2 linked regions of the Stegostoma tigrinum genome follow. The main gene of each other region encodes a partner of the protein of the gene in region 2 in a complex. Links are inferred from orthologs where the notes say so. Each region holds a gene or a part of one and is shown on either strand. Other genes may lie near its edges.

Region 1 (7,295 bases), on a different chromosome or scaffold from region 2:
TGGGAGTTAGAGCTGCATTAGAGATAGGTGGAGATGTTTCAGGGATGCAAGGTTCCTCTGCTGTCAATGGTCAGGACAGCAGACATTGCAATGTAGAAAAAGGATTCAGTTGGAATTCCAGAACACAGGTCAAGGAAAGCTTTGGAGAAGGTTACAGAAAAAAAAAGTGTAGAATTGGGAAGTGGTCTGGGAGGAATTGAAAACAAGTGGAGAATTTCAACATTCAGGTGTTGCCTGATTCAACAGGGGGTGGGGGGGAAGGAAACAGGAAAACAAGACCATTAGCTTGAGAACTAAATTGCCAGAGATTGATGAGACTTAAAGACTGAATTTGGATAATCAAGTCAGTTGGGCATCATCCTGATTAGAGGCAAAATAGGGGCAGGAGTGAGGATTTCAGCAGATGAACTGGGAGACAGGGTGTCCTTAGGGACATCAGGCACTTATCTCAGGGGCCAAGCGTGACACAAAGACTGCAAACAGACCAGATTACTCACGGGCAGCTGGTAAGGAGAGGGATCAGAACCGAAGGCTTCAGTCCCAATAAATCCACATGCCACTAAATAATCCCCATTATCTGTCATCCTCCCAAGCCACCTTATCCACTCCTCTGGGCTCTGTCTCCACCTATCACTTACTCCTCAACCACCCTCCCCCCTTTATCTTATGCATAAAATTTGACCTTTTCCTAGCTACTAGTCCTGAAGAGGTGGTTACCGGACCCAAAACATTAACTGATTTCTCCTCCACAGATGCTGCCAGACCCACTGAGATTTTTCAAGAGGCCAATCAGTCAGTCGCTACAACTCAGCCCCCTCCCCAGTGTCCTAAAGACCATCCAGGGTATTGGGAAGCCCTACACATCTCCCCCTCCCTCAAGCAGGTGCCCACTCTTTCCTCCCCATGACCTCTAATCCTTGGGAGGAGAGCAGTGGTTATGGGAGATTTAACAGGGTCAGCTGTACCTGATAATGATCATGAACTGACATAGGCTGAGTTCCAGAGGTACAAGGTATTTTGACCTGTCCAAATGAGGTAGGGATCGCTCCTTTGGGTATCGTTCCACAATCACCTGAGAGATAGAGATATCAGGATACACACATTCAAAATGCCATGAACAGTCACTAAATGCCAACTCTATCTGCAGGGGCCAAAAATCCCCATTTACTCCCATTCCACCTCCTGTAGGATTAGCCAAATGGATAGGAAAAACTGGAATCCACTACTATTCTGGGGGAAAGAGGTCACTTGACCAGCTTTTCAGTATCCTGGCCACAAGAGCCAGTCAGAAGTTGGGAATCCTGCCATGAGTAACCGATCTCTTGACTCCCCAAAACCTGTCCGTTGCAAGGCAAGGGTGGGATGGAATACTCCCCACTTGCCCCTGGATGGGGGCAGCCCCAACACTCAAGAAACTCAATACCATCCAGGACAAAGCAGCCCCCCAAGTTGGCACTCAGTATTACATACCACCTACAAAAGATGCATTGTAAGATCTCAAAACTCCTTAGATAGCACCTTCCAAACCTATAAGCTCTACCATCTACAGAATCCATCCCCTGTGCATTCCCCTCTGAGCCATGCACCGTCCTGACTTGGGAACAGGAATCCAGCCTCACTGGGACAAAATCCTGGAACACCGTGGAATGATACCGTGAAGGCAGCTCAGCAGCACCTCCTCTGGGCGCATTAAAACACTGTCCCAAACCACATTCGTTACTTGAACTGAAAATGATTCGTTTCAAGGGCAAAAAGTTGGATCAGGTTGTAGGTTTGGAATCGCAAATAATGATGGCAGATTTCCTTCCCTTAAAAGGAAAGGGGGGGCATTAGGTGACCCAAAAGAGGTTTGAAAATCAAGTCATTGTGGCTCTAACTTTAATATGTTCCAGGTTTATTACTGACTCATTCCGTAAGTGGAATTTTGACTAAGTCTCTCCCTGAGGGATCTGTTTATTTCTCAAGGCATTGTACGGAACACCTCAGAAGGTGACAGTTCCCAGTTTCTTTTGGGGGGGCGGGGGTGGTGGTGCTAGAAACAAGGCAAACATTAGCTTTAATAAGTCCTGGAGTTTTTAAATACAAGCAGATTTGGTTATTCACTTGATGTTTAAATTCTAATACCCTGGTGTTGAATAAAAACACAGGAAAGATTGTTATCCGGGAAGAGTATCGTCCTAGTAAATACGCACTTATCCGAGTGTAGCGTGTTCTGGCTGGTGCAAAGTTACATATTAAAAACAAGCAAACGTCATGGCGTTAACAAGTTCTCTGTAGTGAGGACCTAACAGGTTTAGAGTCGTGCACAGAGGGTAGACTTAATCGATTATTCTTTTCACATTTGCAGAAGGGAAGGGATTTAAACTAAGAAAAAGCAAGGAGGATCACATTGCAGCTGTACACCGTTTCCTGGCACACTAACCGCCCCCCCTTCCACCTCTCAACATTTTAAATAACAATAATAAAAGCTTTTTGACTGACCGGTAGCTTGTTGGGGTACTTCCTGCGGATGTTAATTACTTCACTTCTCCTGAAAGCTTAAGCAAAACAAAATAAACAACAAAAAAAACAAACAAACGTGAATAATTTGATTTCTAAACAAAATTCTGAAGTGACTGAAAAGAGAAGCAAGTTTAAACAAAAGGCGTTTAGAACTAGATTTAAAAACAGATTGGAAATAGAGTGGAATTGACGCGTGCATTTCATGATAAGGAAGATTTTCCTAAAAAGAATAAAACCCCTCACCCAAACTACGCCTCTCCTTGAAGGGTCTACAATCCAGGGTCCTCTCTGAGGGAGCCATGCCTTTCTCCAAAAGAAACTTTTCTCCCTTCCCAACAGGGAACAAAAATGCTTTCGTTGCCCCTCCTCAGCCACCAGCCCGCGTGTTTTAACATCCCGTCCAAGCAACCCCAATCTTCACTCTAAATTAACCAGTTAAACAGTCGGGCATCGACAATAAGATTTACTTAAGCCATTAGTTTCTGCTGGAGTATTGTTTCAGGTCGATCAGTCTTGCTTTAAGGGGCGTTTACCAATTAGTCTTGTTTCAAGTAATTAATTTATTTACAAAAACAGAAATGGCTGGAAAAGCTCAGTGGATTTGGCAGAACATAGAAACGATGTTGTGCCGAACTTTCACTCCAAACCTAAGGTCTATCAGACCCCCACCTCTACCTTATACTATCATCCTTATGCCTATCTAATAGCCACTTTAATGCCCCTAATGAGGCCGACTCCACTACCCTCTCCGGCAATGCATTCCACACCCTGACCATTCTCTGAGTAAAGAACCTACCTCTGACGTCTCCCCTATATCTGCCCCCATTCACTTTAAAACCATGCCCCCTCGTAATAGCTACCTCCACCCTCAGAAAAAGTGTCTTGCTGTCCACTCTATCTACACCTCGGATCATTTTGTACACCTCTACCAAGTCACCTCTCATCCTTCGTTGCTCTAAAGAGAAAAGCCCTAGCTCTCTCAGCCTTTCCTCAAAATTCTGAGGAATGGCCACTGGACACGAAATGCTAACTCTGCTTTCTCTACACAGATGCTGCCAGACCTGCTGAGTTTTTCCAGCAATTTCTGTTTCTGACTTCCACACGTCTTACGGTTTTAGTTAATTTGTTACATTTCATTGAAGGTCAACTAGAAGTTCGTTGAAGGATCTGGTGTGATGATGGTGTGGTTTCCTGTAGAATGTGGGGCTCACAGTAGGGAAGCGGCCATTCAGCCTGTCCTGCGAGGAAGATATACCCAAATTGTAGCCCCAGCATCTCCCCTACTCTTTTTACGCAGCACCTGAGCACTGACCCTCCGACAGTGCCCACTCCCTCAGCACTGACCCTCCGACAGTGCCCACTCCCTCAGCACTGACTCTCCGACAGTGCCCGCTCCCTCAGCACAGACCCTCCGACAGTGCAGCACTCCCTCAGCACTGACCCTCCGACAGTGCCCGCTCCCTCAGCACGGACCCTCCAACAGTGCCCGCTCCCTCAGCACTGACTCTCCGACAGTGCGGCGCTCCCTCAGCACGGACCCTCCGACAGTGCAGCACTCCCTCAGCACTGACCCTCTGACAGTGCCCGCTCCCTCAGCACTGACTCTCCGACAGTGCCCCCTCCCTCAGCACTGACCCTCCGACAGTGCCCACTCCCTCAGCACTGACCCTCCGACAGTGCCCACTCCCTCAGCACTGACTCTCCGACAGTGCGGCGCTCCCTCAGCACGGACCCTCCGACAGTGCCCGCTCCCTCAGCACTGACCCTCCGACAGTGCCCGCTCCCTCAGCGCTGACCCTCCGACAGTGCCCGCTCCCTCAGCGCTGATCCTCCGACAGTGCGGCATTCCCTCTGGACAAGGATTGTGAGCCTGGATGAGGAAGCAGAAATTCCCAAGAACTCTCTGTCTGTGAGGTGGGAGTAAGTTAGTCATTTTGGAGAGGAGTGGATTGTGGGGAGTTGTAGTCTATCGCTTCCTACATTTCTTTACCAGTTGTGATTCTGCTTGAATGATGCAGCATCTTGTCACTAACAGCCTAATACTGCTGATAAGATTCTGGTTGCAAAGCTGGGACCTTCCTGTGCAGTTTCCTATAGCCTTGTACTTCCATTCTGCCCCTTCCAATCCAACTGCTGATACCTCCCCGTTCCCAACATAATAACAGGTAGTGAATATTCACCAACACCTTCATTAACACCTCCCACCCCAACTTTAAGTTCACCTGGACCATCTCTAATACCTCTCTCTCCTTCCTGGACCTCCCTGTCTCCATCTCAGGCAACCACCTAGAAACTGATGTCCATTTCAAGCCCACTGACTCCCACGGCTACCTAGAATACACCTCCTCCAACCCACCCTCCTGCAAAAATACTATCCCCTATTCCCAATTCCTTCGCCTCCGCTGCATCTGCTGCCAGGATGAGGCATTCCACTCCCGAACATCTCAGATGTCCTCGTTTTTCAAGGACTGCAACATACCCCCACAGTGGTTGAGAACACCCTCAACCGTGTCTCCCTCATTTCCCACAAGTCATCCCTCACACCCCGTCCCCACAATAACAACCAAAACAGAATCTCCCTCGTCCTCACATACCATCCCACCAACTTCCGGATCCAACGCATCATCCTCCGACACTTCTGCCATCTACAATCCGACCCCACCACCAATGACATTTTTCCATCCCCACCCCTGTCTGCATTCCGAAGGGATCACTCTCTCCATGACTCCCTTGTCCGCTCCACACTCCCCTCCAACCCCACCACAACCCGGCACCTTCCCCTGCAACCGCAGGAAATGCTACACTTGCCCCCACACCTCCTCCCTCACCCCTATCCCAGGCCCCAAGATGACATTCCACATCAAGCAGAGGTTCACCTGCACATCTGCCAATGTGGTATACTGCATCCACTGTACCCGGTGTGGCTCCCTCTACATTGGGGAAACCAAGCGGAGGCTTGGGGACCGCTTTGCAGAACACCTCCGCTCAGTTCGCAACAAACAACTGCACCTCCCAGTCGCAAACCATTTCCACTCCCCCTCCCATTCTCTAGATGACATGTCCATCATGGGCCTCCTGCACTGCCACAATGATGCCACCCGACGGTTGCAGGAACAGCAACTCATATTCCGCCTGGGAACCCTGCAGCCCAATGGTATCAATGTGGACTTCACAAGCTTCAAAATCTCCCCTTCCCCCGCTGCATCCCAAAACCAGCCCAGCTCATTCCCGCCTCCCTAACCTGTTCTTCTTCTCACCTATCCCCTTCTCCCACCTCAAGCTGCACCCCCATTTCCCACCTACTAACCTCATCCCGCCCCCTTGCCCCATCTGTCCTCCCCAGACTGACCTATCCCCTCTCTACCTCCCCATCCATACTCTCCTCTCCACCTATCTTCTCCTCTATCCATCTTCAGTCCATCTCATCCCCTTCCCTATTTATTTCAGAATCCCTTTCCCCTCCCCCATTTCTGATGAAGGGTCTCGACCTGAAACGTCAGCTTTCCTGCTCCTCTGAAGCTGTTTGGCCTGCTGTGTTCATCCAGCTCTACACCGTGTTATCTCAGATTCTGCAGCATCTGCAGCCCCTACTATCTCCTGTGAATATTCTCATCCTCTCAAAGACTGCAGCAGATTGAGGGGAGTGCTGCTCCACCACACCACCCGGTGGCTGCAGCCTGCAACTGCAGTGTGACGGTTTACATAAATAAATCAAACTGTGATGTGCAGATTTTGACAGAGGAGGGAGGTTGTGACACATTAGTAAATACTGTGCTTCTGAGCCAGGAGGCCTAATTTGAAGACTCGTCTGCCCTGGAGCTGAGTCATATCTGGTTTTAAAAAATTATAACGGCATCCCTTGAGAATACACTGCCCAAACAACATGGACAGTCCTCCTACTCAGAATGTTTCCTTTGGCACTAAGCAGTTAACACCTCTCTGTGTGCAGCACAACCTCACCTCTTGGATGGGGACACAAAATAACAATGGGTTAGCAGAAAGGACACCATTCAGCCAGGATCTGATCAAGGGTCCCAACCCAAAACGTCCACTTTCCTGCTCCTCCAATGCTGAATGATTTGCTGTGTTCCTCCAGTTCCTCTGAGACCATTCAGTATCCTACTTTGTGTCTTTCCCACTGTTGTGTGAGCGCCCAGGACTGTTATATCCCCACAGGATACCCTAGGGCAGTGCAGGGCAGCATGGTGGCTCCGTGGTTAGCAGGTACTGCCTCACAGTGCTCTGGGTTCAATTCCAGCTTTGGACACCTGTCTGTGAGGGAGATAGTAGGAGCTGCTGATGCTGGAGAACCTGAGACAACAAGGTGTAGAGCTGGGTGAACACAGCAGGCCGAGGAGCAGGAAAGCTGATGTTTTGGTTCTGGACCCTTCTTCAGAAGCCTGTGAGGGAGTTTTGCACATTCTCCCGTGTGTTTCATCTAAGAGCTTCCACCAGACCAAAGGTGTGCAAGCTAGGGTAGATTAGCTATGCTGTAGTGTGCGCGGTGGGATGCCCTTCAGGGGCCCAGGCTGGGCCAAATGACCGCTACCTGCACTGTAGGCATTCTATGAGTTGGGGATGGGGCCAGTCATAGGAAGAAATGTAGACTATTCAGCCCATCAAGCTTGGCCCAGATCTCTGAATAAAAGGGAAATAAAAGTCTTAAATAAATTTCTCAATAAGGAAATAATTTATCCCAGATTTAAAATTGACAACTGGCTCCCACATCCTCCACTGTTTGGGAAAGAGAGTGTATGTGGTGTGTGGGAGGATGTCACCTCCACACACCCCCA
Region 2 (7,155 bases):
ACAGTAAGGCTACATTCAACTGTTGTTAAAACGTTAAAATCCGCCCTCGGTAATTACCTTGAATGCTGCCACCACCAACCCCTTCCCCAACCACCTGAAAGAGACCTTAATTCTGAGTCACAGTTATGGTTGGAGACTTCACTGTTCCAATTTATTTACCTGGATAGTAATTTAGGAAAGATTAGAGGAATGTAAACCTGCCATAACTCCTGGGTAATTGTAAAACTTACGCACCAGCGTGCCCCTCCTCCGCCAACAATCCATTGATCTCCCAACTCTCCCTGAAGCCATCCCAAACCCACTCAACCCAAACTCCACAGTACATTCTGATTTTACCCCTCATGACCCAATATTCCTAATCCACTCCCCAACCTCATTCCAGGAAACCACTAACCAATACCATTCCATCCCGATGTCTCCCCAGCCCGATATTTCATTAAATCATACAATCCCTACAGTGTGGAAGCAGTCATTCAGCCCATCAAATCCACACTCATCCTCCAAAGAACATCCTACCAAGACCCACCCCATCCCTGTAACCCTGCATTTCTCATTCAAAATTTGTCCATCCCTGGACACTATGGGCAGGTTAGCATGGCCAATCCACCTAACTGCACATCTTTAGACTATGGGAGGAAACCAGAGAAAGCCCATGTGGATATGCGAGAATTACTAACTCCACATAGACAATCGCCGGGGACGGGTGGGGGCGGGGGGGGGGGGGGGGGGGGGGGTTCGAACTGGGGTCCCTGGCACTGCGATGTAGCAGTGCTAACCACTGAGCTGTTCACATGAGTTTCCCCAACCTGACACCCTGGCCCATTCTTACCAACATTCCCCCGATGAACTCCTGGCCTTGCAGCCCCATTGACTTGAAACTTCTGACCTGAAAGCTGATATCAGTCCTGCCTGACAATAACACCCCCAGCAAACATTCCCTCTTCCTGATGAAATACTTCCTGGCTAGACAGACACCTCAATCTAACCTGACTCCACAATTTCCTGACCTGGCACATCCAACCTGACCCAACACCCATCTCCCTCCACTACCCCAATCCATGCCACCTTACTCCTCACCCACACCTGCTACCAAACTCCCTCCCCAGTAGTCATTCGCTACCCTACGTTGCCACTCTTCAAACTGCAAACAACTTTAGATCATGCCAGGCAAAGAGATAAGCTGCTGAGTGATTTATGTGAAAGTGAAATGGCAAGCACTACGACAATGAACACACAACAACTTCATGATGAATTGGAAAGCTGAAGATGTTGTCGGAACATTTGAAAAGTCCCGACAAAAGTGGAAACTGGCAATCGTTACCTTGAACAAAATGGAAAGGATCAGCTTTTGTGGACAAGAAAAGTGGTGTTAAACTTGCAAAATAACTGACAGTCAAGTGAGGACGACACTGAAAATACAGACAAAATCCTTGTCGTATTTCGCATATAACCCCAGCCAAAGTCAACTCATTGGATTTAGGGCTGCATGCTGCCTCAGTGGTTAGCACTCCTGCCTCACAAGGCCAGGGACCCAGGTTTGATTCCACCCTCCTGCATCTATCTGTTTGGAGTTTGCATATTCTCCCAGTGTCTGCGTGGGTTTCCTCTGGGTGCTCTGGTTTCCTCCCACAGTCCAAAGATGTGCAGGTTAGATGGACTAGCCATGCTAAATTGCTCACAGTGTCCAGGGATTTTCAGGCTAGGTGGGTTAACCATGGAAAGTGCAGTGTAACAGGGATAGGGTAGAGGGGAGGGTCTTGGTGGGATGCTCTTTGGAGAAATGGTGTGGACTCAATGGGCTGAATGGCCTGCTTCCACACTGTAGGGATTCTATGATTCTATGATCAACAGGCATTTCAGAGCAGGAAGCAAGTGAGCCTGTTCACAATTTCTTAACAAGATTGAAAAATGCAACCAAATAATACAAACGCAAGAATGAAATGTCTGGATGTGATATTTTCCAAGGAAATATAAAATCATATAACCATTCCCATCAGGAGGGTGAGAAATAAGCCCACAACCATATATATAAAGCAGAAGCTCTATACCAGATTACAGAGTAATGGTATTCTGCTAAGACCAAACCAGAAGATTGTTCTAGGAAATTTGATAGAAACTATCTGCCCAACGATAGATACTCCGAAACTGACCAAATGTCATAGAAGGAACTGATTTTCTACAGCTCAGAACATCCCCAATCAGGGGAATCCTGGAGTTGAGCACTTGTGAAGAATTGCAGCTCATCTCAATAAATCATGAAATGAATAAATGACAGTGAGATTGAAGATAGTATACCCACTGAAAACTGCCCTCTGATCAGAAGTGAGAAATTGATTGCTTGGCTCACAGAGCCCTAGCTTTGGTAAATTCCATTGTGATGAATGAAAATATTCAAAAGCCAACTAAATAAGTTGCAGCTAATAAAACTTCCTGCATCTACCTCTTCCCCTTAATGTCAGCCAGAATGTCAACAGAAAATAGGTGAGATAAACAGAGAATGTAAAAGAGCACTTAGCATTGCTAATGATATCCACATGTATGGTGTTGATGCAAAAATCATGATCACCATATACATGAACCATGGAGAGAACCAGAAGAACTCAGATAAAGCTAAACAGAGAGAAATGCATTGCAAATATGACAGAACACTTGCTCTTCAGTATGCAGTACACGAACGGTGGAGTTCTAAAAAGATCTGTTATCTTGCAGGTGGAAGTTCCAAGAGACATGAAAGAATTGACAAGTTTCCTTGGTGTGAACCTAGACGAGTCTTTTCACACTTCGCCCTAAGACAATAAGATGTAAGAGCCAGAAGTAGGTAAATTGGCCCATCGAATTTGTTCTGCCATTCACTGAAATCATGGCTGATCTGATAATCCTCAACTACACTTTCCTGCCTGACTCCTATTAAGTCTTGATTGCCATATTTATTAAAAATCTGCCCATCTCAACCTTGAATATTCTTCATATCATTATGTTGGAAAGCACAGCACATCTATGAGAGCTGGTGACAAAAGATATTGAGTACTGGTGCTCAGCGTCACATCAGAGGAAATTCAAGAAACTTGCAATCGTAGCACAGGGGACAAGCCTTTGTACTACAATAGAAAGAAATCTGTTGTTTTGTAATTGGTACTTCCACAGAAGGACTAGGCACAGCCTTAGTACAATCGAGAAGATCGCTAGCATTCACATCCAAAACTTTGATATCAGCTGAGACCAGAAATGCTAACATAGAAACAGAACATTTAGCAGTTGTGTATGGATATGAGACATTCTGTAAAAATTGCTAAGGAATCATTGCACACTAAGCAAATGTACAAAAATTGTGCGGAACACCCAAAAGACTCAATGGTTCCTGAACTATCAACATTCTTTCTCCCCAGCACTCCAAACCCCCAAACCTCTCATTACTGCATAAATGTTATTCCCTCCACATTTCATTTCAGCTTTGAAGAGTCATCTAGACTCAAAATATTAGCTTGCTTTCTCTCCATGGATGCTGCCTGACCCACTGTGATCTCCAGCTTTTTTTCTGTTATCAGTACAGATTCCACACCTGGAGAAATTTGCTCCTCCAAGATTAAATGGTAACTTTCAAGGCTGTGGTGTTATAATTGCACTCTGAGATACAAGTGAGAAACAAAAGTGGGGCTGGCAGATGTCATACTTCAGTTATGGTTACAAGAGATACAAAATCTAGGTTTAAAGAACATCACCAAAACTATGTCAGATAGGAGGGGACGGTAGCAGTTACGAATAGTCCTGGTATAACTGATCCAGGCGTGGCCTGATAAAACATAGCAATCACAACTGACCACAGAGCAACATTGGTCTATCACAGAGGGCATCCTGGTGGAAGATGGGGCGGTGCTAGTTGAACTCAGTCCAATCACACCGAAAATGATGCAGAATAAAACTTCTCCAAGAAGGTACATAAAGGTCACATCAGAACTAGATGAAGCGCCATGGTTTTGAAAGTAAAGTTTGATTATTTCAAACTCTGAGAACAGTGACATGGGTAGGCGGGTGTAAAACAGGACTCGAGCGAATGGCTAGATACTGCAGCCTACCGCTAGGTGGAGGCCGTTCACCGGGTTGGGGTTCTCGCGGTGTGCGCTGGGATAGTGGCGGAGTCCATGGGAGGAGGAAAGTTGTTCTCGCGGTGTGCCCTGGGATATTGGAGGAGTCTGTTTTTGCGGTGGTATTGTCGTTTTGGCGAGGGTGTTGACAGCCTGAAAGCTTCGGATCTGCGGGGGTAAGGGGAGAAAAGATGGCAAGTGAAGCGAGTTGTGGGCAAGAAGAAGCGGTTTGGGTATTTGGGAGGAGCTGATGGTGTTAGAGGGCGTTGGGACAGGTGAGCTTTGAAGCCTCCTCGGATGGGTCTCGGAGATTTCAATTCCTTTATATCTCTGTATCTGTCACCCCGAAGTTCAGTGCCTGAGATCCAGCAGCCTTGGGCACCAACAGGAATAAAGACGGGAAGTTGGTTTTGTCAATGAAACCTCCTACTCCCTGTTTGTAATATCATAGCTAATCTGATCTGCTACGCTCTTCAAAGTTTCTCAACAGTATTGCTTTGTCGGATAAAGAGTTTTCTTAGTCTTTGGACATGTTTCTAAATTTCTGATTAGAGTTACGGTATTATTAACCAGACTATGATTTTTTTTATTTCAAATTAATGTTTTGGACACTCAGTTTACATATATTTATGATAGTTGGAGCCTCTGTGTTAAACTCCACGTCATAAGGAGCAAAGTTCTGGACAGTTTCAATTTCGTTAAACTCTTGATAAGTTTTTTTTCTTTGTTCAACTTCATTAACACGCTGTAAAGTTGGGAGAAAAGAATCGTGAAGGCTGCCTTGTTGAAATTCCTCTATTGCTTGACACTACTACAGACGAGGAATCTGCTTGGTTCTATCATTCTTATTGGAACTGTGCCCTGCTAGGTTTGTTGATTTCAGTAAGAATAACCGTCATCATGTCTTGTACTGGGGAAAAGATGTGCTCATATCACTGGTCTCTTAAACAAACTCTATTGGAAAGACTAACGGTATGTATGTAACCCTTCAAACCAGGAATCAGCCTCCTTGTAGTCAAATAGCTCACTTGCTTTATTAGGGAGCCAAGTTTTGCAAAGACTTGTGGATCTGTACCTCAGCAAGTTGATAACACTTCATGAGAACAGGCAGTTAATTGGCCAATAAAATTACAAAAGAAACAAGAACAGAATGTTAGAGGAATGCGGCAGATCTGGTAGCATCAGTGGAGGGTAAAACCACTCCCCAGTCAGTTTTGGACTCAAAATGCTAAATCTGTTTTCATTCTACAGGTGTTGCCAAACCTACTAAGTTTCTCCAGCACTTTTTGTTGCAGATATCCAGGATCTGTAGTTCTTTGTATTTATATTAAGGAGAAAAAAAATATTGATTTATTAAGTCAACCTGCTTAGTCTGTCCTTTAGTTAACTTTTAAATTGCTGAGTTGTGGTTGTTGGCAGCCTGGGGTCTTCTGTACTTTAATCAAAATTATCTGATATTTTTAATCATGGCCATGAAACATTGGGTTAAGCATTGCCTTCTGTTTTCATTTAGAGGCTTTTAAAATTCATAACTTGAATTTATGACTTTTAGGGCCAATTTTTTATTATGCAACAGCAAGGATAAAAAAAATTCAATCAGTAGAAAGTTCTTTTTCATGTAAACTGTAATATACTAAATAAACGAATCAGCCTCCTTGTCACTGCTTCCAATACAGCTAAATCTTTCAATCAGGAAGGCAAACTACACTGATCCAGGTGTGGTCTCACCAATGCCCTGAATGAAACAAGGTTTCTCCGTTTTTATATTCCACATTCCTTTATAACAAAGGAAACAACCAATTACTTCCCTAAATACTAGCTGTATGTGCATGCTAATTTTGAGATTCATGTACACTCAGATTCTCTGAACTGCAAGATTCTGCTGTTTTCCCTCTACTTAAACAATTCTACTTTTCTATGCTTACTGCTAAAGTGGAACGTTTCACGTTTTCCCACGTCATTCTGCATCTGCAATTTTTTTTTGTCATTCGTCTATACCCCTTTGCAGATATTTGTATCATTTTGAGGCGCTCTACTATCCACTTGATGATCAGCAAATTTGACTATAATATAGTTGGCCCCTTCATTCGCTTATATAGAATGCAAATAGTTCAGCTCCAGCATTTATCCTGAACTACTCCATTAGTCATTGTTTATTAACTGCAAATGATTCATTTATCCTGGTTCTCTGTTTTCTATTTGCTAGTCAGTTTTCTATCCATGTCTATATATCACTCCAATGAGCTCTGATCCTTTGAGGTGAAATTTTAAGTGGCCGTAACAACTGATTTTTGGGAATTCACTGCAAGGCTCCTACATCCTGTTTTAATCGCAGTACAACATTAGCAGAAAAGTTTACAGTCAAGCTAAAATCTGTACCATTGTAAATTGATGCTAATGTTAACTAATAGGTAAGAAAGATATGAGCAGCATAGTTGCAGTGTGGTTAGTACTGCTGCCTCAGTGCCTAGGAAATAAAAATCGAAAGAACTATGGATGCTGTAAATCAAGAACAAAAACAGAAGTTGCTGGAAAAGCTCAGCAGGTGTGGCAGCATTGGTGGAAAAAAAATCAGTTAACGTTTTGAATCCAGTGACTCTTCCTCATATTTCTTTCAGGTGCTCTAGTTTCCTCCCACAGTTATCCCATAAAGATGTGCAGGTGAGGTTGATCGGCCATTCTAAATTGCCCAGTAGAGACCAGGGATGTGAGGGCTAGGTGGATAAATGTGAAATTACAGGGATGGAGTGGGAGTGTGGGTCTGGATGGGATGCTCATTGGGCCAAGTGACCTCTTTCTGTCATGTAGGGATTCAATGATTCTATAAAATAGAAATGACCTGAAAAGGCAATTTTTCATGGTGTTAATTCCTGCAGAAATGCATAAAAGGGCTGCCGTGTAGGATACTCGGATGATTAAATGCTTGTGTGTTGCTTAATTTGTGCAGTAAGTGAAGTTTTGCAATTTAGTGGTGGTAAGAATCTGCTCTTTAATTTCCAATAAGGGAGCAGACAGGATTGACATAGGTCTTTTCCTTTTTTTTATGATGCAATAATGAAATGGTTTTCATCAG

Evidence for each region.
Region 1: the proteins of plekhm1 (region 2) and microtubule-associated proteins 1A/1B light chain 3C are in contact, whole or in part, in a crystal structure (PDB 5DPW), measured with the Homo sapiens proteins. The link is inferred for Stegostoma tigrinum from reciprocal best matches to the Homo sapiens genes PLEKHM1 and MAP1LC3C. Residues at the interface, in NP_055613.1 of Homo sapiens: Glu632, Asp633, Glu634, Trp635, Val636, Asn637, Val638, Gln639, Tyr640; in NP_001004343.1 of Homo sapiens: Phe13, Arg16, Lys17, Glu25, Ile29, Phe33, Lys36, Pro38, Asp54, Lys55, Thr56, Lys57, Phe58, Leu59, Val60, Pro61, Glu63, Leu64, Ile72, Arg76, Phe114.

Annotation. Positions count from the first base shown.
Region 1 is NC_081395.1:6,216,286-6,223,580, reverse strand, and holds the start of microtubule-associated proteins 1A/1B light chain 3C, read right to left. Parts: upstream 3,010-7,295; 5' UTR 2,804-3,009; coding exon 2,746-2,803; intron 2,538-2,745; coding exon 2,482-2,537; intron 1,073-2,481; coding exon 966-1,072; intron 1-965.
Region 2 is NC_081384.1:31,550,688-31,557,842, forward strand, and holds the start of plekhm1 (pleckstrin homology domain-containing family M member 1), read left to right. Parts: upstream 1-4,153; 5' UTR 4,154-4,258; exon of another isoform or gene 4,259-4,357; intron 4,358-7,155. UniProt on the Homo sapiens protein: Acts as a multivalent adapter protein that regulates Rab7-dependent and HOPS complex-dependent fusion events in the endolysosomal system and couples autophagic and the endocytic trafficking pathways.